Yarrowia lipolytica: one gene and its partners. The protein of the gene in region 1 binds, or shares a complex with, the protein of each later gene. Links are inferred from orthologs where the notes say so. Each region holds a gene or a part of one and is shown on either strand. Other genes may lie near its edges.

What was found.
Region 2: YALI1_C29983g (region 1) and YALI1_C26580g share a complex: the UniProt entries of both Saccharomyces cerevisiae proteins name them as parts of the CTF18-RFC complex. The link is inferred for Yarrowia lipolytica from reciprocal best matches to the Saccharomyces cerevisiae genes RFC5 and DCC1.
Region 3: the proteins of YALI1_C29983g (region 1) and YALI1_B22020g are in contact, whole or in part, in a cryo-EM structure (PDB 7TI8), measured with the Saccharomyces cerevisiae proteins. The link is inferred for Yarrowia lipolytica from reciprocal best matches to the Saccharomyces cerevisiae genes RFC5 and RFC1. Residues at the interface, in NP_009644.3 of Saccharomyces cerevisiae: Trp4, Val5, Asp6, Lys7, Arg9, Lys50, Met54, Leu68, Ile70, Leu85, Asn86, Val88, Glu95, Thr97, Asp100, Asn141, Glu142, Glu209, Arg231, Val232, Leu235, Glu238, Ser239, Leu242, Asn243, Glu245, Ile255, Pro257, Asp258, Trp259; in NP_014860.1 of Saccharomyces cerevisiae: Leu590, Gln593, Glu594, Tyr596, Leu597, His610, Leu611, Glu612, Val614, Ala615, Ala618, Asn619, Ile621, Ser622, Leu623, Asp625, Ile626, Glu628, Lys629, Trp669, Gln672, Lys675, Ser676, Tyr679, Tyr680, Leu683, Gln684, Tyr688, Arg691, Leu692.
Region 4: the proteins of YALI1_C29983g (region 1) and YALI1_D13226g are in contact, whole or in part, in a cryo-EM structure (PDB 7TI8), measured with the Saccharomyces cerevisiae proteins. The link is inferred for Yarrowia lipolytica from reciprocal best matches to the Saccharomyces cerevisiae genes RFC5 and POL30. Residues at the interface, in NP_009644.3 of Saccharomyces cerevisiae: Arg67, Lys69, Asp71, Val72, Arg73, Ser89, Ser90, Pro91, Glu115, Ala117, Gln118, Met119, Glu120, Val122, Asp123, Phe124, Asp129, Gly130, Leu131, Lys136, Asn164; in NP_009645.1 of Saccharomyces cerevisiae: Asp42, Ser43, Arg44, Val45, Asp124, Leu126, Glu129, Leu131, Tyr211, Glu232, Ala233, Pro234, Ala251, Pro252, Lys253, Phe254.

What each region holds. Positions count from the first base shown.
Region 1 is NC_090772.1:2,996,139-3,001,468, forward strand, and holds YALI1_C29983g (uncharacterized protein), read right to left. Parts: upstream 2,210-5,330; coding exon 1,163-2,209; downstream 1-1,162. Other genes in the region: YALI1_C29926g (uncharacterized protein), read left to right, coding at 1-504; YALI1_C29968g (uncharacterized protein), read left to right, coding at 685-1,113; YALI1_C30007g (uncharacterized protein), read right to left, coding at 4,071-4,643. UniProt on the Saccharomyces cerevisiae protein: Component of ATP-dependent clamp loader (RFC and RFC-like) complexes for DNA clamps, such as the POL30/PCNA homotrimer and the checkpoint clamp DDC1:MEC3:RAD17 complex.
Region 2 is NC_090772.1:2,655,237-2,660,769, reverse strand, and holds YALI1_C26580g (uncharacterized protein), read left to right. Parts: upstream 1-2,691; coding exon 2,692-3,720; downstream 3,721-5,533. Other genes in the region: YALI1_C26616g (uncharacterized protein), read left to right, coding at 1-819; YALI1_C26597g (uncharacterized protein), read left to right, coding at 1,008-2,213; YALI1_C26566g (uncharacterized protein), read right to left, coding at 3,789-3,993, 4,043-4,119; YALI1_C26544g (uncharacterized protein), read right to left, coding at 4,934-5,533. UniProt on the Saccharomyces cerevisiae protein: Component of the RFC-like complex CTF18-RFC which is required for efficient establishment of chromosome cohesion during S-phase and may load or unload POL30/PCNA.
Region 3 is NC_090771.1:2,199,601-2,206,896, forward strand, and holds YALI1_B22020g (uncharacterized protein), read left to right. Parts: upstream 1-2,497; coding exon 2,498-2,566; intron 2,567-2,623; coding exon 2,624-5,413; downstream 5,414-7,296. Other genes in the region: YALI1_B22015g (uncharacterized protein), read right to left, coding at 1-1,993; YALI1_B22055g (uncharacterized protein), read right to left, coding at 5,670-5,984; YALI1_B22060g (uncharacterized protein), read left to right, coding at 6,495-7,040. UniProt on the Saccharomyces cerevisiae protein: Component of the ATP-dependent clamp loader RFC complex for the POL30/PCNA homotrimer DNA clamp.
Region 4 is NC_090773.1:1,320,326-1,325,792, forward strand, and holds YALI1_D13226g (uncharacterized protein), read right to left. Parts: upstream 2,425-5,467; coding exon 2,383-2,424; intron 2,310-2,382; coding exon 1,557-2,309; downstream 1-1,556. Other genes in the region: YALI1_D13238g (uncharacterized protein), read left to right, coding at 3,565-4,722; YALI1_D13251g (uncharacterized protein), read left to right, coding at 4,867-5,467. UniProt on the Saccharomyces cerevisiae protein: This protein is an auxiliary protein of DNA polymerase delta and is involved in the control of eukaryotic DNA replication by increasing the polymerase's processibility during elongation of the leading strand. Involved in DNA repair.

The DNA of each region.
Region 1 (5,330 bases):
GAAGAACTAGTCAGGAACGCCAACTCTCTCATTCTCGACGCCGACTACTACATTCACAAGACTCTGATTCCCCCTCTGGATCGGTTCTTTAACTGTGTGGGTGCTTCTGTTCTCAAGTGGTACGAGGAGATGCCCAAGAAGCGGCGGTACGAGTTTTACCAGACTGTTTCTCGAGCAAAGACCAACCAAACCACGCTCAAGTCGTACGCTGTGTCCAACTCGTGCATCGTCTGCAAGACTGCCCAGACGTCTGGCTTGTCTAAACTTTGCGCCACGTGCGAGAGTGATCCTGGTCATGCAACATTCGTGCTTAACTCCGATCTGAGGTACAGGGAGAAGCGGCTGGATGAGCTCAACACAATCTGCGCGCAGTGCTCAGGCGACTTTGAGACTAGGTGCGAGTCTCAGGACTGTCCTATTTACTACTCACGGGTCAAGGCAGTGAGTAAGGCGGAAGATGCAAGTGAGAGGCTAGTGGAGTGGACTGAGGGGCTGGAGTGGTGATGCAACGATGGAGAACTTATTTATTTGTATTGTAATATATTTATTTATAACTGCGCTGGTTGCCGTGTGTGCCTTCTGTACCACAGTCGAACCCTGGGTGAAGCGCCAAAGTGTTTCTGTAGTTGTGCCAGTATCAGCGTCTGTCCTACCAGTAGCTCGCGTCTTGACTCTAGTCCGTGGATGTCACCAAGTACAAAGAATCTAGAAGCACGGCGCCAACCCTCATTGGTGACACGAGGGGCTTCTTCTGCGATAATGGCCCTTCCTCACGAGCTCGCTATTCATAATTGCTTAGCAATATCCTGGGCGAGGAAACAGACACCTTCTGTTTCTCCCATTCCGAGTGGTAGGGTCTGCGAGGATATCCCTTTTCTCAGCTTCCCTTTTCTCAGCTTCCGAACACTTTCTGAACCAGTTCTGGGACGAAACTGCGATGTTGAACGCGTCATTGGCGCCACAGGCGATGATGGACCCGTTGAATGGACTACTGTACTTGAAGTAGCAGGGCAAAGGATATCTGCATGCTGTTCACTGCATCAGACCAACGCCTACTTTCAATCAATGCTTCATTATCTATATATATCCTTAGTCCTTCCTTCACTGCAATAGCACTGGCCAGTGTCTTTTGTTTTGCATGTACTTGCACTCACTTCACTGGTTACTCCTCCAACAAGACCATCACCTTTGCGCAAAACGCCTCCAGATGAAAGATATACTTCGCACCCAGCTTCAACCGATGCTCGTAGGTGGCTGCGGCAGAAATCAACGGCACCCTCAGATTGGCAGGCACCACCGGAATCAGTCTGTAGGTGAGCTCCTTGAGAATCGTCGAGGGAGGAATGCAATGGGAGAGCAGCTCATAAAAGAGCGATCTGATGGCCAACAGAGTGGCTGGGGTTCGAGATGACACGAGTTCTCGGGCAATACGGCCAATGACCATTTCCCAGTCAGGAGTAGGAATTGGAGTGTTTTCCGACACCGTTTTGGAGCCTGCAAAGGTGTACAGAGTCTCCAGAGTCAATAGAGCCTTCCGCAGGTTCCGGTCGCTATGCGAAGCAATCTTTTCCAGGGTTTTGGTGTTCTCAAGATCCACATGTTCCTTGGCAGCCACTTTTTCCAGTACGTTGACAATGTCCTGCTCGGTAGGTGCAGCGACTCGCACCAGCAGGGTTCGCGACCTGATGGGTGCAATGATATTGGAGGTGGAGTTAGTGAGCAGAATCAGTCGGATATTCTTTGTGTATTTTTCCATGGTTCGTCTGAGGGCAGCCTGGGCGTCACGAGACAGCGAGTCGGCCTCGTTGATGATCACCACCTTGAACCGTTGTTTGGCATTGAGGTCGACCTGCTGAGTTTCAGCAGTTTCCTTGAGCAATTGCTGGATCACAAGACGGTCATTGTTGCCCATGTCGGACGGCGTCACTTCAAGATGGTAAGCCGAGCAAATGACGCCGAGCTCGAGTTCTCGCTTCGACGGCGTCACGAACTTGTGGGACTTGGTGCTGATTTTCTCCACGCTGGGGCCGTAGAGCTTTTTGAGCAGTCCCATGACTCGGGTCTTCTTGCCTGCTCCCGACGGTCCGTAGACGAGAAGATGAGGCAGATCGCCTGTCGCGGCAAGCGCGGAAAACCGCTCGGAGATGTCCTGGTGGTAATCCACGTGATCGAGGGACTTGGGACGGTGTTTATCTACCCAGAGAGACATGTTTTGGGGTTGATGTGGTGATGGAGAAAATGGGACATGTAGAGACGCGTGTAAAAGTGATTTGGCGTTTAGAGTTTGCCAGTTGTAGAGATTGATGGAGGATACAAGGGTGTTGAGAAGTCGGTATTCGGGGAAATATACCAATATAAGATGTCGTAGAAGGAGTGTGAATGGGTTGATGAATATTTAGAAAAAAAAACCAGTCAGATTTGATTGCAGTTGTACGGATTTTAGGAAAATACACACTACTGGGTAAAAGCTTAACAATAACTTGTGCTTGAGTCAACCAAGTCTAACTAAAGTGAAGAGCCCACCGAAAGGGCATTTACTATAGAGAGGAGAGTTTGATTTCCACTCAATTCCACTCAATTCCGCTTTAGTTCACATCATTAACACACATCATTGTCATCCATCTCCGTGTCGTTTTATTCTAACCCCATTTTTTCCTCCGAGTAATTATCCTCCCGCGTAAAATTCAGAACGGGATTTTCCACGCTCTTGTGGGTCGAGAAAACCCAATTTTCACAATCTGTCCGATATAGTGTAGGGGTTATCACTTCCGCCTTTCACGCGGAGAACCCGGGTTCGATTCCCGGTATCGGAGTGTCTTGTTTTTTTGCGTTTCCGACCCCCACCACGTCTGTGGTGCTTGCTGTCATTTTCACGTACATTTCTCTTGCTTGTCCTGCATCTCAGCATTCCATGCAAGGCTGAGTTTAGGTTGTCGTATTTCAGAAACTGTATCAAGTGAACGAATGAGGTGAAGAGATGAGGTGAAGAGATGAAGGAGAGACAATATTTGTAGCAATGAGGGCAATAATCAACAATTATTCGGGTTAATCACGTGGTACACTCCTGATTACCTTGTCCCCACGCCCTTGTCTTCCCTGATGCTTCCTGGATACCGTTAGCCCATGGTCATACCATTCATAGCCAACCGTCAACGTCTCTTGTCCAAGCTGAAGGAGGCTGATATTTGCGTCCGAAAGGTGAGCCATCGCGTTTCAAGCAGTTCCAAGTGGCTTTTCGAGCCCAAGAAGTAAGCCTTGAAGTAAAAGCCCTGTCAATAGACTCGTATCATAGTACAAGGCTTAGCTACAGATGTTCAGCAAGGGGTAATGGCTTGGTTACACGCCCAGCAAGGCTCAGCACTCCGCAGCAGACTCCACAAGGCTCAGCAAGCTCTACCAAGCCCAGCAAGGAGTTGTGTATGTGCCAGACTCAGCAGGATACGGTCAGCCAGGGGGTGCTCAGATGATGATGCACGACCTGTTCTCCTTCTTTTACCCGTACTTGTGCATCGTACTCGTAAATATTGGTCAGCTTCACGATCCGTCAGGTGGCTTGTGTCTCAGATCTATTGCTCGGGAGGGTCGATGGTTTGCAAAATTATTGGCGTTTGGGGAAATTATTAGGGGAAATTATCGGAGGAAATAATTCTATGGGCGCAAAGATTACTGCACTTTTGGCGATAGAGAGACCTCGGTGAAATAATAGTGGGTGGGTGCAAGTCTTGATCCAGTTGTGTACTTTGGCGGTTGTATCATGCTCGTCTAATTTTGTGCATGAGTGCATCTGGCACACAAGGGACCAACAAGTGATGACCCTTCTTCTGATACCCCGCTACACGAGGATCCAGAACCACGTTAGCAAGGTGAAACGGCCCTTTAGTGAGCGTCTATTGCTGTCGTGTTGGGAAATTAGTGTGTGACGTCACTAGACTGGATTAGTCGGCCGTCTGGGGTAAATTACACCCGCTTGGCTGCGTTAGCGCCGGTTTTTAGTTCCAACCCAGGAGCCAAAACACATGAGGTATTTCAGGTATTATAACCCTGGACGAGGGCTTGTGAACCCTGTCGATCTAAACAGTCTTGATTGTGGGAGGTGTTAGAGCCTCAGCCATAGATTGTTTCAGATGGGCAGTGTGGATTCTCTCCATCCTCGAGGTTGACTGTAGGCCTGTTTGGTGCCTGACAGGAGGTACAGTAAGGAGTATCCAGAATGTACAAGTAGCCTGGGCTGCGGACGGGCTAAGGAACAAGCACCGCTGGTGTCTATCGGGGGTGTGTGCCATCATGTGATGCACGCCATTGTGTTGATGTTCATTGTGGGTTGTGTTCCCGACAGGATCCACGCATCGGCCGTCGATCAACAGGGGGTTCCTGGTTGCTGAAACAGTTGTACCTGGGTGAGCTGTACAGTGTGGTGATGGACGGAGATTTATGCGGCTCCGATAGACAATCGAAGGTGCCATCACCAACGACTGGCCATAATAAGTGTCAGTGTGGTACGAGTACAGTAAGAGTACAGTACGTTGACTACCTGTTGCGCCTTGCACCGCCAACAAACAAGCTCCACAAAGCTCCAGAATGTGTGTACCTGTATCCCTAGCGCATTCCAGATTACCACTGGCGAATATCGTTTTACGTTCCATAATGAGATTGTACTTGTAGTATACACATTAGATTCGGGAGTTGTGAGCGTCTTGTTGCGGCCGTGTGTGGCGGAGGTGAAAAGAAAAAGAAAAAGAAAAAGAAAAAGAAAAATAGGTGACAGAGTGAGAATGCGGTGAGTGGCAGTCGCAGCTATGCACCCCCTGTTTCACCATGCAGGGGGCCGACGGCGATAAGTAGGGGTATGGAGCCGCTGGGGGTGTGTAGAAAAGCCAGCTGGAAGATGGCGACACAAGACACGTCCAAACAGCTTCGTCTCTGCGAAATTTTTCTTTTCTTGCTACAATTGAAACCTCCCTGACGGCGGTTTTGGTTCTACCGTGGGGCTCTTTGTTTGGGTTGGAACCTAGAGCGAAGTGCTAAAACTCTGTTGCCAGACACCTCCCGAAGCCTATCTAATTATAGTGGATGGCGGGAGGTATAACAGTGTGTTTGGGAGGGTGTTAGGGGGCCGCCAGAAGCGGTTTAAAGACGGAATATGGACATTGGCCGTCTTATAAAGCCCCTGGGAGCGGCCCCTTTCTCCCCCAACCAGCCAATATCCCGCTAGAACCCTCCCCACTCACCCGTCACACCATGTCTCACCCTGGCTAATATGGTTTCTGTCGCATTGACCACGCATGGCCACGGGCGAGACTAAAAGCGGAACTGAGAGAACGAGGATGGAG
Region 2 (5,533 bases), about 340 kb from region 1:
TCTAGAATGAATGAGATGCCTCAGTTTGAGACTCCTGAAGAGTCTCTTTCCGCTGCTCGAGACTTCCTCGTCTTCTTCTACGACAACTACTACGATTCGGTAAGACGAGCTGAAAGAGAGATTCAAAATGGAACTGAAAGTGACGATACAGATGAGGAATATGGATCTGCATTACCACGTGTGCCTGCTGTGGCTATTCCCAACGTTCCTGTTCCTCCAACTGCTCCTGTTGACGACACATATACGTCTGAGGAGGATACGTGTTCGGAGCGTGAGCTGCCTCGAGGAGAAAACAATCCTGAACACTACCTGGGAGATTGTGTAGATGATGAGAATGTTGAGGGGTGCGCTAGCCCCAACTGTGCGTGTGGAGGACGACAGGTGATCTACCCCGTTGGACTGCCTCCGGAGGACGGATATGGTGATCATGCCCATGAAGAGGAAGGCGATGGCGACAGTGACGAAGATGATGAGGATGGCTGGGAAGAAGACGAGGACGAGTATGGTGAGGATGAAGAGTATGGTGTGGATGAGTATGGCAATTATGATGACGGAAATGAATACGATGACGATGTATATGAGGATGAATTGGGACGAGTGTTTGTGGGAGGTCTTGAAGTTGAAGACTTTATGAACCCCATGAACTACATTGATCCAGACAGTGGGGGCGGTGGGCCGCTGACGTTGAATCGGGAGACTGGTCAGTTTGACTTGAGCCCAGGGGCCTTGGATATCATCAACGAGCTGCGGGCCACGGGAGTGTTGCCTCCGTATGGGTCACCTGGACGACAGCCTGACGGGGCCAATGGAGGGCGATAAGTCATTGGTTGACGCAGGAAGGAAGGCTTCGCCACGCTAGCTACATAATGAAATGCATATATTTATTCGTACACACGACACAGCTATATAAGCACTTGTGCACTGCTGTACTGTCTTTTTGATAGCCCAGTTCGGTATCCAGTGTTTTACAGCCCACTGTCTTAAATTCTCTTTGAGGCTGAACGTATATGCACAGTGAATATCTATATTATTATCTCCTCTTCTTCCCCATTGTCATAGCCATGATACTCCGGTTACCACACGATATTCTGGTGGTAATCTGCGAACTTGTTTCACCAAGAGATCTTTGTGCTCTTCGTGAAACTTGTCAGCAACTCAGCCGCGATATTCCCGGGTCTTTCATCCTCGGATGTCTTCTCTCTGTGTGGGATTGCTGCAATATTGAGTACAGCAGATCGAACGACGATACTTGCCAGGCTCCGCACAAGCTGAACAATTCGCGGGTAGAGTTCTCAGATCAGGTCAAGTGCCCTGTCTACATTGATCAGCCGCTTCCACGCGACTTTTACTGTCTCTGCAAAGAGGTGGACGAGATCTTTCCCTGGGAGTACCACGACAACGGGATTTCTTTCGACGAGAAACTCTTGGATTTGACGGAGCATCCCGAAATGGGCCAAGGGAAGCCCAAGAAAGGACTCACGATGGGACGTTACTACGGAAGCACATATGCGTTTGGAGGAGCACCTGTGATCCAGACAAGACATTCTTCAAAGATGTTGGCTGGTGTGAGTGTTATAAATCTGATCTACTCTGGTATTCCCCAGACGAGAGGAATTGTCAACTTGGATGGACTTTCTCTGCCTTTCAGACTGCAGGTCAACGGAAAAAGTGTTCTTTTGCACGCTCGAGCCTGCGATTATAAGACCTCTGAAGTGATTTGTGTGTCCCCAGGTGGAAAAGTACATACTCAGAGGTGTCGACCCCGGAAAGCTGCTCCTGCTGGTATCGTTCACTACAACGACACCTTCTTCAACATTGATTTTCAAACCCGATACCGACTCCGGGTGTGCAAGTCTCTACATAGCTTGGACTCCGATCCACAACTAAATGAGCCGTACAAGGTGTATCAGGATGAAGAATATTCACAGTTCTGCCTCGTTTACAAGCCCACAGGAATTATAATAGGGCTAATTGACTTGGACAACCAGCAGACAGAAGTCTTTTCCGCACCAGGAACTGGATTTGTGGCCAGAAACTACAGCTCGATATCGTGTGAAGAATACCTCGTCATGGTTGGAATGTCCAAGGGCTCTCTTGGGATCTGGAAGTTTTCCATTAACCATCTCCGCAAGAGGTTCAGATTTCAACATGGAGATGGATTCGCTAACGCTTTGTCGCTAGCAGTCTCTCCCCTTGCCTCCAAGCCGAGATGACAGTGGTCTGATACTTCTTGAAATGTTGCTACAGTATGTAACTAATCGACACCATCCCGAGGCGGATAGTGGTCTTCAAAGGTGGGACTGGGTAGATATCACATGATCGGAGCTGGTTATCGGTTTGTGGAGGGGTATCCGAGTATGGATACAGAGAGAGGTACAATCGTCTATACAGAACAAGTACAATCATCTATACATACATGTGCTGTATATGTATTGTCGATCCCACTTATCTCACTCGAGCCAACGCAATGGGCTTATTGTCTTGATCGCTAAAGAATATTTGGTATACCATCTGGCTATATTGGATATTACTCGATTTTTGTTCCCATGTTTGAATATAAATAAATCGTCGCTATCCATTTTATCCGATTTTACTGTCTCTTTTACACTGTCCAGCTCCCTCCATCCACCTTTCTCATGCACGACGCGTCTAAATTAATTGAAACGTGTGCATCTCTTCAACACCACCATCATGAAGCTCAATTTTTACGAAGAGTACGACAAGCGACACATTTATCGGCTGATCGAGCTGCCCGAGCAGATTATCGGCGAGCTACGGGAGGAAGAGGAGGAGTACAAAAAAACCAAGGAACTGCAACATTACTCACTGACTCTGAGAGGCAAGGATCGGCTCGTTCTGTGCAACAAAAACACGACGTGGAACGTCAAGCAACGGAGCCAAAGCAACACCCTTCATCTGGTGGAGACACGTGACGATGGTCTCGCCAGCATTTGCATCACCCAGCCCATTTTGGAGTGCACTTTGAGTGAATCGCCTCAGTTGGACACCTCTGATCTGCCCTGTTACGACGGAGACAGTATCATGGGAGACCCGCGCATCGCCAAGCACGATCTGGACTCGTTAAGGAACCGCAGCAGCATGTCTGGAGTGCAATTCGACCAGGTTTGGGCGCAAATTGGAGGAGTGGAAGTCGATGGAGTGGCATGTGTGCTGGCTGATAGTCTGATCAAGGAGACAATAGACGATATTCTGACCTCGCTAGCATCACAGAAGCAGCAGCTTAACCTGGTGAGTGCATCTGACGTGGTGTCTGATACTTCTCCAGCAGTAGTTACGGCAGTGTTGAAGATGTTTGCTACAACGCCCATTGAGCCCTACAATCTCGATCTCGCGCACATCATCAGCTGGATTGGCAAAAACGCCCTTGGCGAGCCGGTGCAGATCGAACAGTTTATGATCATGTGGAAAAACTCGATTCCCATGATCTTTGACGAGGATATGGTCTCCCTGGACCTCATCAAAGGCTCCTATGCTCTTTGTGAGACTATGATTCACAAGCTCAGCGAAAGTGATTTGCCGCGTGACCCCAAGGAGCGGTTTGCTCGACTGTTCCAGATCAAGGACAAGTGGGAACTGGACGAAATCACACCGTTCATTGAACCCATCAAGATGAACAAGAGCACCAAGACGGAGAACTTTGTGCTCAAGTACGCTAAGAAGAGAAAGATCGGCGGCAAGGTGATGGTTTGTCGAGAGTGAAGAAACGACGACAAAGAACACAAAAGGAACAAACACAGTGGGATTATATTGAATTGCAAGTACAGATGTCAATAAGTAACCCCAGTCTGAGAACCCTGTAATTGAGAACTCTGGGACTGGGTACGCTGTCGATTCGAAGGACTGGCATGCGTTGCAACTTTTGCTTCATTTCTTTTTTTGCTGAAAGTCGCAGTCCGTCCCACATGATGGTATACAAACCTCTCCTGGAGGCTCTCCTCTGAATTGGGAACGATTCTAAGAAAATACAATGTGCTTCAGAGCAAACAGTTTGTAGTCATCATTGACGTTTCCGTCCATGAACGAAATGTGGGAACCTCCAGAGTGTCGCTGGTCCTTGTAAGATATGTGCAGCTTTGAAGGAGAAGGGGTCAGTCGCATGGTAGCATTAGACGGAATCTCGCCTACCAAAAGAAGTGAGCCAGTATCCTGGGACGTAGCCCGTCCTCTACGGCCAATTGTGCCGAAATCTTGAGAGAGATTTCGTCCCGATACCCTGAAAGAAACTGGATGATGACTAGTTTTTATACATTGTTCTCACAGTCTCTGGAACTCTTATGCAAGACACACTCATGTGTCATCTACTTCTGTCGGCCACTTCACGGGCGAGGAGAGGGTTGTGGGTGAGAACGGTCTTTCTGAAGTCAACTTCATTGATCAGGGACAGTACCTCCATAGTTGACATACTTGCGTCTTTTTGACGAAGTGCGTCTTTTTGACGAAGGAAGTACAGTCCACATGGTAATATACATGGTTGGAGATGTCGATGGGAGTGGGAGCATGTTGACTGTGTGTTTTGAAGTTCGTCTTTATATAGTAGTTTATCTAGGAGTTTCAATCGATACATACAGAAGAGAGTATACGAAGAGAGGATAGTGTGGAAGGAGGTATTGGAGAGGGAAGGTTGATCTGACATTGTTCATATTTCCTCAATCTGATGACTTTCTGATATTGCCTGTGAACATGTTGTTGACAATTACTTGTAGGTATCAAGAGACGTGGCAATCTGGTGGTGTAAATTGTCTTACCTTTCTTCGTGTGTGCTCGCTAACCGTTCTGAATCATGAGGCAAGTTGAAGTGCAGTACTTCAGCGGCACCAAGTCATCCTCACGAAGAACAACCCGTCTCCTTCCCAATTCATATTCATAATTCATTACTGTTACATTCGTCAGTCATACATCATGCGTGGTTGTCCTAGTCCAACTTGGGCTTATCGAGCACACCAGTCAGACTCTTCTTGGCGGTCTCGTAGACTCCAAGGAAAATGGCTCCTCCGGCAGAGATCCACATGGTTCGAGGACCAATGCCTTTGAGCAGAGCACTGTATCCCTCGGTCTGGACTATCTGCCGGTACGTCTGGAAAAAGGTCTGTCTCTGCTTGTGGAGCATCAGACGGGTTTTGATCACATCCAGAGGAGTGGTCAGAGCAGCAGCAACACCTCCAGAGAAAGATCCACATACGGCAGCCTCCTTGGAAGTGACCACATCTCTTTCGGTGGCCCGAGCCCACTTCTTCTTGAGAAACTCGTACAGAGGAAACTGGATCATGGTGAAGGGGATTTCTCGCACAATGGTGGTAGCGTAGCCTCGGTACAGACCTCGCAGCACTCCCTCGCCGCTAGAGTTATTGAGGATCGACTTGAGGGCCTCCATGGACGACTTGTAGTGACCAGTCTGGGCTCTCTGCTTGATCACCTCTGAGGGCACTCGAACCATACAGGCAGCAACTTCTCCAAGAGAAGCTCCAATCATGTGAGTGACACCTTGTGCCACGTCATCGTTGAGAATGAGAGC
Region 3 (7,296 bases), on another chromosome or scaffold:
GCCAGTCCACGTTTCGGCCCACGGCCTTGCCCTGTTTACTCTCAGATACAGACTTGATAGCCTCGCGGACAATGGCTCTGTCAGCAGCAGCCTCCCCGACCAGAGTGATGGATCGACCTTCTCGTCCTGCTCGAGCAGTTCGTCCAACTCGATGCAGGTAGACAGCATGGGTCTGGGGCATGTCGTAGTTGACGACACACTCGATCTTGGGGATATCCAGACCTCGGGAAGCCAGATCGGTACAGACCAGAATGGGCACCTCCAGTTTTTTGAATGCTGTGATGGACTGCAGACGCTGCTCCTGAGACAGAGCTCCGTGCAGTTCTCCAATTCGGACTCCGAGCAGACCCAGCATGATTCGAAGACGATGCGCAGTCTCTTTTCGGGCCACGAAAATAATGGTTCGCTGCTCCTTGTCCATCTTCTTGAGGATGGAGGCCAGCAGAGCGGGCTTGAGATGGTCTCGCTTACGGATTCGAACAAACTCTTGCACCAGACCAGAAGCGGCCTGCTTGGGAGGGTTGATCATGACTCGAACGGGCCGAGAAAGAGACAGCTGAATAAGCGACGAAATGGACGAATTCATAGTGGCAGAGAAAAGCAGAGTCTGACGCTTCTTGGGAAGCAGTGTCAGAATCTCGGTCAGTTCCTGTTGGAAACCCTCCTCCAGCATTCGATCAGCCTCATCAATCACCAGAATCTCGACATCGTCAACGTTGAACGAGGGAGAGTTTCGAACATGATCAATAAATCGACCGGGGGTAGCAATGACAACCTCGGGTCGCGTCTTGAGCTCCTGCTCCTGAACTCGAAGGTTCAGACCACCGACAGCCAGACCGAATCGCACGCCAGAAACATACTGTGCGAGCTTCTTACCAACATCGGCGACCTGAATGGACAGCTCTCGAGTGGGAGTCAGAACCACAACCTTAGTGGCTGCGACCTTGGAGGACTTGTAGAGAAGACGCTCCAAAACAGGAATGATGTACGCAGCAGTCTTACCAGAACCAGTGACGGCACCAGCAACCAGATCCTTGCCCATGAGAGCAATGGGGATGGTTCTGCTCTGAATCGGAGTGGGGGCCTGGTATCCCAGAGCAGAAATACCCTTCATGACGGGTCTAGACAGATTCAGAGTCTGAAAGGTTTTGTGCACAGACTCAGTCTTATCGTTGTTCTCCTCCTCGGGAGCGTAGAATGCAGCCATCTCCTCGGCAGTGTCCTGGGGTCCCTCGTCGATGGCAGGGCCTTTATGGTCATCCAAAACCAAATCATCGGGGTGCATACACTCCTCAGCCTCGGAGTCGCTTCCATCAGAGTCCTCCTCCTCTTCATTCTCAACCTCTTCTTTGTTCTCCTCGTCCTCGTCCTCAGGCTCATCCATGTCCTTTCCGGGCTGGACTCCTCCTCCGAAACCATCAATGGCCAGATCATCTTCGTTCTCCTCCATCTTAACGTCTGTCTCGGCCTCGTCCTCGTCCTCGTCCTCGTCCAGAAGGCCTCCTTTTCTCTTGATAATGCTGTCCAAATCAACTTCTCGCTTCTGGACCTTGTTGTCGTCCTTGGACACCTCAAAGTTCCAGCCGTCCAGACCTTCAGAGGTGGCAGCAAATCCGTCCAGCGAAAACTGGAAGTCGGGGTTGATGCCGGCCTTGGCAGCCTGCTTTTCTCGCTCCAGTAGCTCCTCGTCGGCTTCACTGAGTTTTTGCTTCTTCTGCTTCTTTGTCAGCTTGACAGGCTTCTCCTCCACCTCTTCCTTCTCGTCTGCACTCTCCTCCTCCAGATCTTCACCGTCGGAATCTAGAGTCATGACAAAGTCGTCCTTTACTTTGGAAATCATGGCAGCCGATTGTTTGGACTTAGTAGCCTTCTTGACCGGTTTGGTCACTTTTCCCTTGACCATTTTTGTGTGTGTTATTTGCGTGCTGGTTTGAAATAGGGTGGATAATTTATTTCTGCATGGACATATTTTTCCAATAAACTCTGGATGCATTAATGACGCACAGTCATGTGATTGACGTTAGGAGGAGGGTGAGGGAGTGAGTGTTGCAGTAGAAGTACGAGTACATACTGTAGAGGGTTATAACTTGATGAATCTTGGCTGAAGTGTCAATGTGAACAGATTTTATGACCATCAAGCCATTACAATTGATCACTAATAGTCATATAATCCAAATCTGTTCTTTAATCTGTTATTACATTGTTCACCTTACGAAGTCCACCTGCCATCACACGCAGCAAGCCAGCATGTGGGTACAATAATTGCCCACAATACAAGAACAACTCATTTCACGATCATTAAATTGCATAGATAAACTGCTTCAACAACCTCTTACCTGTGATTATTTTTCATCACTTATTGTAGTCACAATATACAGTAACCTCTCTGTTGTAATTACTCCCCTGCCTCTTCTTTCGCCTCTCCCAACCGCAGCACTGCAAAACGCGTCAACACGAAGCTTTCCATTTATCACCACTGGAACGCAGTGCAAAAAAAATGCCTCCCAAAGATATCCGCAGTTTCTTTGGAGCCCAAAAGACCAAGGCGCCGGCCAAGTCCAATGACGTGAGTACCAATTGCACTGCCCATCTGTTTTGATTCACGCAAAAACCACTAACATAGAAACGGCCAGCCACCACGTCTGTGGACGAAGAGAGAAAGCCCAAAAAGGTCAAACAGGAGGTCAAACAGGAGATTAATTCCGAGCCCGAGAAGTCGCCCGTCAAGCCAAAGATTCCCGCAAAGCCCAATCCCACTGCTAAGACCAAGTCTCCTGCCAAACCTGCTCCCAAAAAGCGGACAATCCAGATTGACGATTCTGACAGCGAAGATGGAGAGGCCCCTTATGAGATAGATATGGACAGCGACGACGGGTTTGTGGACGACGATGATTTGCCCGTGAAACCTGTGCAGCGACGAACACGACGATCGGGGCCAGTCAAGGATGACGATGTGATTGAGATTGATGAGGACGACAATGTGGTCAAGAAGCCACCTCCCAAGGCAAGCGTATCAAATAAGGGCCCAATCATTGACTATGACGATCTCGATGACGACGATCTCGAGCAAATCAAGCGTGCTCCTAAAAAGGCTGCCCCCAAGCCCAAGGCTGCTCCAACGGCCGCCCCCAATGCTCGATCCGCACCTGGAGGGGCTACAGCAGAGTCTGTACTAGCGCAATTACCCGACGCCGAGCTTCCCGAGGTCGAGGAGGGGAAGAAGTTCAACTTCCGAGAGCATCTGGCCAAGAACACGGCCACTGGAAGTGGAGAAGGAGGAGGAGCAGTGGAGCTTCCTGAGGCGGCCGAAAACTGTCTGGTGGGCCTCACGTTCGTTTTCACTGGCACCATGCCCAACTTGTCGCGAGAAGAGGGTCAGGCCGCAGTCAAAAAGTACGGAGGTAAGGTCACTTCTTCCATTTCTGGTAAGACCAACTGTGTTGTTCTGGGAGAAGATGCCGGACCCAAGAAGATTGAGCAGATCAAGAAGCTCAGAACCAAGGCTCTGGATGAAGCTGGTTTCTTGGAACTGCTCAGACTCATGCCTGCTGACGGTGGAGGGGGTGCTGCTGCTGAAAAGGCGCTAGCTAAGCAGGCAGAAGAGGCCGACAAGATTGCTGCTGAGAGCGCAAAGATGGCTGCTGAGATGGCGGCGCGAGAAAAGAAGGAGAAAGCTGCATCCAAGAAGGCGGACGCTTCTGGAGCCCCTCGGGCTGTGTCTATGGATGACCAGCTGTGGACAGTCAAATACGCCCCCAACAACCTGAATCACGTTTGCGGAAACAAGGGAGCGGTGACCAAGCTACAAAACTGGCTCAACAACTGGCACGACAATGCCAAACATGGATTCAAGCAGCCTGGAAAAGATGGATTTGGCATTTATCGTGCTGTTCTGCTGTCTGGTCCCCCTGGAATCGGTAAGACTACTGCTGCGCATCTGGTGGCCAACCTTGCAGGCTATGATGTGATTGAGAACAACGCCTCGGATGTGCGATCTAAAAAGTTGCTTGCTCAGGACGTTTCTTCAGCTCTCACAAACACCTCCATCATGGGTTTCATGAGCTCAGCGAAGTCTTCCAAAGAGAAGAAGATCTGTATGATCATGGACGAGGTCGATGGTATGTCTGCTGGTGATCGAGGAGGTGTGGGCCAGATGGCTGCCCTGTGTCGAACTACTGAGGTGCCAATCATCCTCATCTGTAACGACAAGGGTCTTCCTAAGATGCGTCCATTTGACAGAGTGACTCTGGACATTCCTTTCCGACGAATGGACCCCAAGGCTATCCTAGCACGAATGATGACCATCTGTCATCAGGAGAAGATCAAAATTTCAGCTCCTGTTTTGGAGCAGGTCATTGCTGGCTGCAACTCAGATATTCGTCAGATCATCAACTTGCTGTCGACTTATGCTCGAAACCAGAATGAGGGTGGTCTTGATATTGAGTCTGGTAAGAAGATGACCCAGTCATGGGAGAAGAATGTGGTTCTGAGTCCCTTTGATATCACTGGAAAGCTGCTTTCCGGAGGCCTATGGGCTCCTTCCTCCAAGGCCACTCTCAATGACAAGATTGAGCTTTATTTCAACGATCACGACTTTGTTCCTCTCATGATCCAGGAAAACTATCTCAACGTGCAGCCTAGTGGAGGAGGCGACAACAAGGAGCGTTTGAGGAAGACGTTGGCTGCTGCTGAGTCCATATCTGATGGTGATCTTGTTGATAAGATGATTCATGGCTCCCAGCAGCACTGGTCTCTGATGCCTTTGCATGGGTTCCTGAGTGCGGTTAGGCCTGCTTCTTTCGTTGCCGGCCAGGCCCGAGGACGATTCAACTTCACGTCCTGGCTGGGTCAGAACTCCAAGGGAGGAAAGCATCTTCGAGCTCTCCAGGAGCTTCAGAGTCATGCTGGATACAAGACTTCGGGCAACTCTCGAGAGCTGAGACAGCAGTACTTGCCTTTGATGACTCGAAAGCTTCTTGACCCACTTTTGGCTAAGAAGGCAGAGGGAGTTCCTGAGGTGATCGATTTCATGGACTCGTATTATCTCACCCGAGAGGATTGGGATGCTATCATGGAGATGGGTGTTGGTCCTGACAGTGGAGAAGAGCGTATGAAGAAGCTCGAGACTCAGACCAAATCTGCCTTCACTCGAAAATATAACACTTCGTCGCATCCCGTGCCCTACATAAAGTCTGGAACTGCCATGGACATGAAGGCGTCTAAGGCCCAACCTGATTCGGGAGACGTGGTTAATGAGGAGGTGGAGAAGGAAGAGGAAGAGGATGAAGAAGACATTTCGAAGGACAAGTACATCAATCAGCCCAAAAAGAAGGCTGCTCCTAAGAAGGCTGCTCCCAAGAAGACACCTGCCAAGAAAGCTGCCCCCAAGAAGGCTGCTGCTAAGAAAAAATAGCCTGTCCTGTTACTACTGTGTATGTATTTAGACGCAATTGATTTATATGAAATACATCCTAATGAAATTTTTGAGCGTATTCTATTGTCGTTATTCGTTAATCATTAATCGTGTTGTGGTGTCATAACTTGTAGGGGGTATGCTGTCTGATATTCGCTGCAGTACTCAAAATCAGAGACAGATTCTGGCAATATGAAAGATGGCGTGTCAAAAGACATGTCAAAAGGTCCGTAATCGCGTCTTGGTGTCGTAGCGATTAACTCCTCTCTTGTTGCATTCGCCTCACTTTAACCTCCAGCTCCTTGGACCACTCGTCCACCTCTCCAACTAGCTTCTCCAGAGTATCGAGGTGGCCACGGACCTGTTTGAGCTGGTCCACGTACCTTGCGTTCTCGTTGTTCAGACCTTCGAGGTACTCTCTATCGTTTTCGAGGCCCTTGGTCGACTCGGCAAGTTGCTTGTACTTGTGTGTCTGTTTGCGATTCACCACCTCCAGCGAGTCTAGCCACGTGACTGTGTAGTCTGTCTGGGCGTCGATCAGGTTTTCCGCAGCCTTGACGGTTTTCTCCATGGTGAATCACTGGGTCAACATGCCTGTGGTGGTGAGCTTACCCATATGCATGCTGTTAATTAAGTTGGTGCTGTTTGGAATTGTCGAGGGTGAATATGTCACGTAAGAAAACAGGATGATATTAGTGAAGCCACCGCTGGTTAACGATTCAGATCCCATAAACATAGCTAGACATTAATTCTTCTCTCTTCAAAACCGTTACAACAGGTATTGTACCAGTTTCAAAGCCAGGTTAGGGTTGGGAGCTGGAGAGGATGTCTATCTCTTTGATGTTGTGGGTTTGCTTGTACAAGTACTGCGTTGAGCCAACTACTGTAAGTCAGCCTGTGCCTCATCCTATTAGAAATAGTCGCATTCCACGTCATTCTTATCATTTCAAACACCCAGACCAAACTTGCAAGCAGCCCTACAGTATTTCAAAATGTACTGTACAGTATAGAGTTCAATCATCTTACACGGAAATTCAATTTCATTTCACGAGTAATTCCGACACCACACACATCACACACTATGGGAATGTTCTGGAACAGGAATCCCAAGGAGGAGCCTGCCACGGCTGCCGTTCAGGAGCAGGTGTCGACTTCCGCGCCTGCCGAAGCAGCTGCTGCTCAGGCAAAGGCCAAATCAGACGACGATGACTACGAGGCCATGTTTGGAGTCAAAGCCTCGGAGCTGCTGGGTGTCTATAAGCCAAAGCCCAAGAAGGTGTCTTCTGAGGAGCAGAGCTCTAAAAAGACCGAAAAAGATCCGTTAGAGGTGCCGACTTTGCCGGAGGGACCCAGGAACATGCGTGTCTATTTCCCCGAGGAAATGTCGTGTTGGGAGGCGTTCAACGAGGTGGTGGCATGTTACTCTGTGGGCGGCCAGGTGCGAAACTTGTACCGGTTCGGCTCTCTAAATTACTGCGATAAGCCCAAGGACAAGTGGAAGTTTTGCATGGGCGTCAAGCTGGATCCCGAGGAGATCAAGAAGGCCAAAATAAAGCAGTTCTACATGAAGCAGCTGGCTGAGAAGATGACCGGCGGTTCTTCCGAGGATATTTGGGAGCGACGATAGCGTGCTTTTAGTGGGGCGAAATATAAGCGGCTACTCTGGCATTGTGGGTGTGAGACGAGTGTTCGTGGATCAGGGGCTCACTTGTATATAGACTAAAGATTGATATGGACGACGTGATGGATATGTCGACGTACTTTTAGAATTGCAATATCGTGTGTAAACAACTCACAGACGTGCAAATCACTCCCACAGCACCTACACAACCACATCTACAGTATGGTATGTACAGTAGATCAATGGTATAGTCTTAGTACAA
Region 4 (5,467 bases), on another chromosome or scaffold:
GCATTTCCCTAAACTCTAGTTGACAAGGGTGTAGAGATCGGCATGTGGGGGAAGAGCCAACCGGCAAGTGAAGTAGAGTGTAACAAGAGACGAGCAAGTGGTGCCACAAGAACGTACTTGTAGTCTATGCGTTGGGTGACGGCGTCTGTGTAACAGAACACGTCATCGTCGTGGTCCGCAATGTGACTGCATTTTTTTTTCCTTCCACACTCGCACCGGGTCGTCTAAAAAGCCGCACCTGTGAGACCCGGTTAGTTGGTTCAGGCCTGAGAAAGTTCGCCTGGTAAAGATACGAGTGGTGATCAGTGGGGAAGACTTATGGACCCGTAGGTTTCCACATAATAACATTGAGGTGGAGGAACATAGACCGTGTGTACGTAGCAGCCAAAGGATGGGTGTGTGGAGGAGAAAATGACACGAAAAAGAAGACGAAGATGTCGGCAACCCTCCCAAGTACACGCTACGTGGCCTCCTCCACACAAAGCACGCTAACGCCATGGAACTAGACATGGCCATACGCTAACAACCCTATAGACTCATGCTCAAGGCCTATTGTGGACGCGTCTAGTTGGGCTCTTCTTTTACAATACCGCCCTATTAACTCACCAGTACGAGTAACATACTGCACGAGATTGGAGCTAGCCGGAGGCCCTGAAAACAACTCTAGAATAGAACGAAGAAATTGGTGGTGGCAGACGAGCCATCAGACATTGAACCCTACAAATATCGCCATGGTAAGATACTGCACGACCACCTACCAACACTTGTAATATGTATACAAGTAGCATCAAAACCCACATGTATCGTGCACCTGTGCCCAGGGTCATTAGTAGAGAACTAACGAGTGCTTGTACAACCCACAAAGACAACCACAGAAGAGGTGCAGAATCTCAGCAGCTCGGCGTGTCGTCCTATCAGGTTGGCACCATGCTGTCCGTACCAGAATAGCACTTGTACATGCTTGTTAAGTTAAAGACTCCCGAAGATGTCTCACAAGTGAGACTGTAGCGGATGGACTTGAGAAGGATATGGTTAGTAAGCAGAGGGAGATGTACCAGTCCTTGGTCACCTGCTTATCTACCAGTAAAACATTCTGTCACTCTGGAACGTGGTTGACACTGTTCCACAGCAGCTACAACGGTATCTTCATGTAGTATGATGTACACTGCGCTTTCCATCACGACCCATTTACAGCCACTTTCCACATAAACATATTGATCTGAAACTAGAATGGCGTTACATCAGAGGTCGGTTTGTCTACTGCACCAGTACATACTGTACTACTGTACTTGTACTTGTAGACTTATCAACTGTTTGGTCTTGTTACCAGTATACTGCCGTTCATCTACTTACTGTACAGTGTGCACATTACCATACTGTTCAAACCGGATCAGGTACTTCCAGTGCTACTACAATTCCTGTAGTAAAAGGAAGGCCATTCTCTCCAACTGTGCTCCCGATGTGCTCACTACAAATGTACTACTGTAGTCACTCGTGTTCTATAATCTTTCCTATAATTAATGCGCCTATACTAGCCTATTCTACTGTCGTGTCCATTAGTCATCATCCTCGTCCTCCTCGTCCTCGTCGCCAATCTTGGGAGCGAGGTAGAATCTCAGGTAGCCGTTGGGGAGCAGGTACTCGACCATGATGGGCACCTCGGAAGACATGCCCAGATGCACGTTCTGGGCCAGGCCCGACGCCTTGCAGAAGTTGTTGAGGTACTTGAGGTTGAGCTCCATGGACACAGGGGTCTCGACAGCGATGGTGGTAGATCCCTCGTCGTCGACCGAGGAAGAGGGCTTGATGAGCACGGATCCGTCTCCCACGTCGCCCTTGCAGCTGAACTTGACGCCCTCCTTGTCGCACGAAATCTTGACAGACTCGGACAGCATGAACATATCCCGCATGATTTTCTGGAACGCGTCCACGGGCATGGTGATGTCCGACTCGTACTTGGTGTCAGGGATTCCGAGATGCTCCTGGTCGATCGTCATGAGCTTGAGCACAAACTCAGACACTCGCTCGGACTTGGAGTCCTCAAAGGTGAGCCGCAGCTGGTCGCCGTTGTCGTCAGCCATAAGGGTCAGGGCGTCACGGTCGTTAGCGCATCGCAGAATCTTGACAAGCGAAGCCACCTTGATTCCGAGTGTGATGTTTCGGTCACATCGGTAGTCAGAGAAGCCGTCGGATCCGAGCTTCAGAGACACCAGGGCAATGTGTGAAGAGTCGACGGCCTGTACGTCGATTCCAGTCTCGGAACACTCAAAGTTGACATCAGTCACGGAGTCCTTAATGGCATCGATGATCTGGGTTAGTAAAGACAAGGAATAGGGGTATGCAAACACAAATTGATGTTCCGTTGCCGGTTGTCTTACTCACCTTCTTGAGAAGAGCAGCTTCGTTCAATTTGGCCTCAAGCATTGTTAGATGTGTGTGTGTGTTGGAAGAGTTACTGTGGTGGTGGTGTAGATGGAGGAAAAGAAAGAGGGACGTGTTTTAATCTAAAACGCGACAAATCACTATTCCCAATTGGGATTAACCACAACGCGTCGGTAGGGTAACACAGGTGTGCAGACAAGTATAAAGGGGGCGAGGGTGGCTGGTGGGCAGATTTAGAGACGGCTTTTGGACTTTCAATACTCCAATGACAAACGGATGGTGGTACAGTACATCTCCAGGGTCACGTGACACTTTGAACGGAGGTGTGTAGACCCTTTTCTCACACATTTATACGACTGCCTTCGGAACCGTTCTCCCTGGCAATACCAACGAGCTATTTAAAGTTTGGCGGTGTCAAACACGTCGATTGGAGGATTGGAGGATTGGAGGTGTACAGCATCAATGAAACAACGGAGATTGTACTGACCTTATACCGTGAATGTTACTCGGCTTAATACGATGGATCAGGCCAGATTACCGTGCAAATACAACTACTTATGTGCTGTACTTTTACCGTGCTTTTGTGTGATAAGTTGTTGATGATTACAATCTTGTCTTGAAGTTTTCCCAGTGCTTTATTCCTTCACACCGAGACTCGAACCGCGCACACTTTAAGGTACAAGTGACACTTTCAACGCTCAATGCTCCGAAATAGGCTCGCTGGGAGCTACTATATAGCTGTCTTTCTTCCAAATCATGTGAATTGACGTTGACCAGTGCAACATGGTATTTTGGAGGTGATCCGGTCGTTATAGAGATGGAATTGATATATAGGGGCCATTAATATGGACAATTGGTTGGTTTTAGCGAGAATTGAACTTGCAGCTGCTCTCTGCAGAGTCAGGAACTGCACTAGAGGCCGACTCGGATCTGAGCTGCAGCCTGTGCATTAGCAAACTCTATGATGACTGACTGATTGACCAAAACCCACCGTCGCACACCTTCTTTCTTCGACACTGTCATTCCATTCTCTTCGACAAAATGTTTGCCAACCGAGCCATGCGACTCCAGACCCGAATGTACTCCACCGGAGCCAAGACTCTCAAGATTGGTGAGTAGCACAATCAAGCGACACGGAAGGATCATACAAGCATTAGTGTGACTCATACCCTGGCATGGCCGATGCCACCCCAGATTTTGCTCGATTCGGCAACGGAAAAGTGGTTTTTTTTTTTCGTTCCAGAGCTTCAGCCATTCTTTACCTATACTAACCCAGGTCTTATCCCCGGAGACGGTATTGGCCGAGAGGTCATCCCCGCTGGCCGAAAGATTCTCGAGAACCTGCCGTCCAACAAGCTCAAGTTCGAGTTTGTTGACCTCAAGGCCGGCTTCGAGCTCTTCAAGCAGACCGGAACCGCTCTGCCCGACGAGACCGTCGACGAGCTGCGAAAGTGTGACGGTGCCCTCTTTGGTGCTGTCTCCTCTCCCACCACCAAGGTCGCAGGCTACTCCTCTCCCATTGTCGCTCTGCGAAAGAAGATGGGTCTGTACGCCAACGTGCGACCCGTCAAGGCCGTCCAGGCCACCGACAAGAAGGTCGATCTCGTCATTGTGCGAGAGAACACTGAGGATCTGTACATCAAGGAGGAGCGTGCCTACGAGCAGGACGGCCAGAAGGTGGCCGAGGCCATCAAGCGAATCACCGAGCGAGCCACCGACAAGATCGCCACCATCGCCACCAAGATCGCTCTGCAGCGAGAGCAGGTTCGAAAGCTCGAGGGCGGTAAGCTCTTCCACGAGAAGCCCATTCTGACCATCACCCACAAGTCTAACGTGCTGTCCACCTCCGACGGTCTCTTCCGAGAGGTTGCCCGAGCCTCCGCTGAGAAGGAGCTCAAGGCCGAGGGCGTCTCTGCTGATGCCATCATCATCAACGAGCAGATTGTTGATTCCATGGTTTACCGACTGTTCCGAGAGCCTCAGTTCTTCGACGTTGTGGTTGCCCCCAATCTGTACGGAGACATTCTGTCCGACGGAGCCGCTGCCCTCGTCGGCTCTCTGGGTGTTGTCCCCTCTGCCAACGTTGGCGACGACTTTGTCATTGGTGAGCCCTGCCACGGCTCTGCCCCCGACATCGAGGGTAAGGGTATTTCCAACCCCATTGCCACCATCCGATCCACCGCTCTGATGCTGGAGTTCCTTGGCTACCCTGAGGAGGCCGCCAAGATCTACAAGGCTGTCGACGCCAACCTGGTTGAGGGCAAGCTGCTTTCTCCCGATCTCGGAGGATCTGCCTCTACCGAGCAGGTCACTAACGATATTATCTCCAAGATGAACTAGATTTGTTAGTTATATATGATGAATGAACGATTATGTATATTGATTGACATTGTGTTGCTGTAAGATAACGTTATCTTGCATAACGAGGAGTGCGGAGTGACTTCTAGTCACGTGATCTAAGGCGATGGCTTGGATCGTTCACAAATGAGTAGTACTATTCTTTTTTCATCCCGCTTTACCCGCCGCCTTAGCCTCCTAACAATATCTCACACTCCGAACCAAGTAAGCCCAGTGCTTAAACCTAAACAGAGTCCGTTTTTTAGTCCAACAAAACACCATACCAAACTGCAAACAGTACACAGGCAGCAAGTCCAGCGACAGGCAATGTCCGGGACACCGCTTTCTGTCCACAGCTCTGCATCGACGCCCGAATCGCGCATGCTCACCATTAACGACACAGACACAGACAACTCGTCCCAGCCACTGTACATTGACTCCGGAGACGAAGAAACGCACAATGTGATTGATCTGGATGCCTCCGACGCCTCCGATTACGACAGCAACGACGACGACGGGCTCGATCTGTCGGCTCCTCCGCCAGATCAACACAGCAAGTTGCGCGAGGTCAAGTGTCCGATTTGCCTCGAGCCGCCAGATCGGCTTTGTGTCACGGAATGCGGCCATCTCTACTGCGGGGACTGCGTGTTCAAGGCTCTTTCTTCGGGGGTTCGGGCCTCTGATTCGGTGGGGGAGTGCAGTATTTGCCGCAAGTCTGTCGTCTACAAGAACGTTGTGTTTCTAGAGA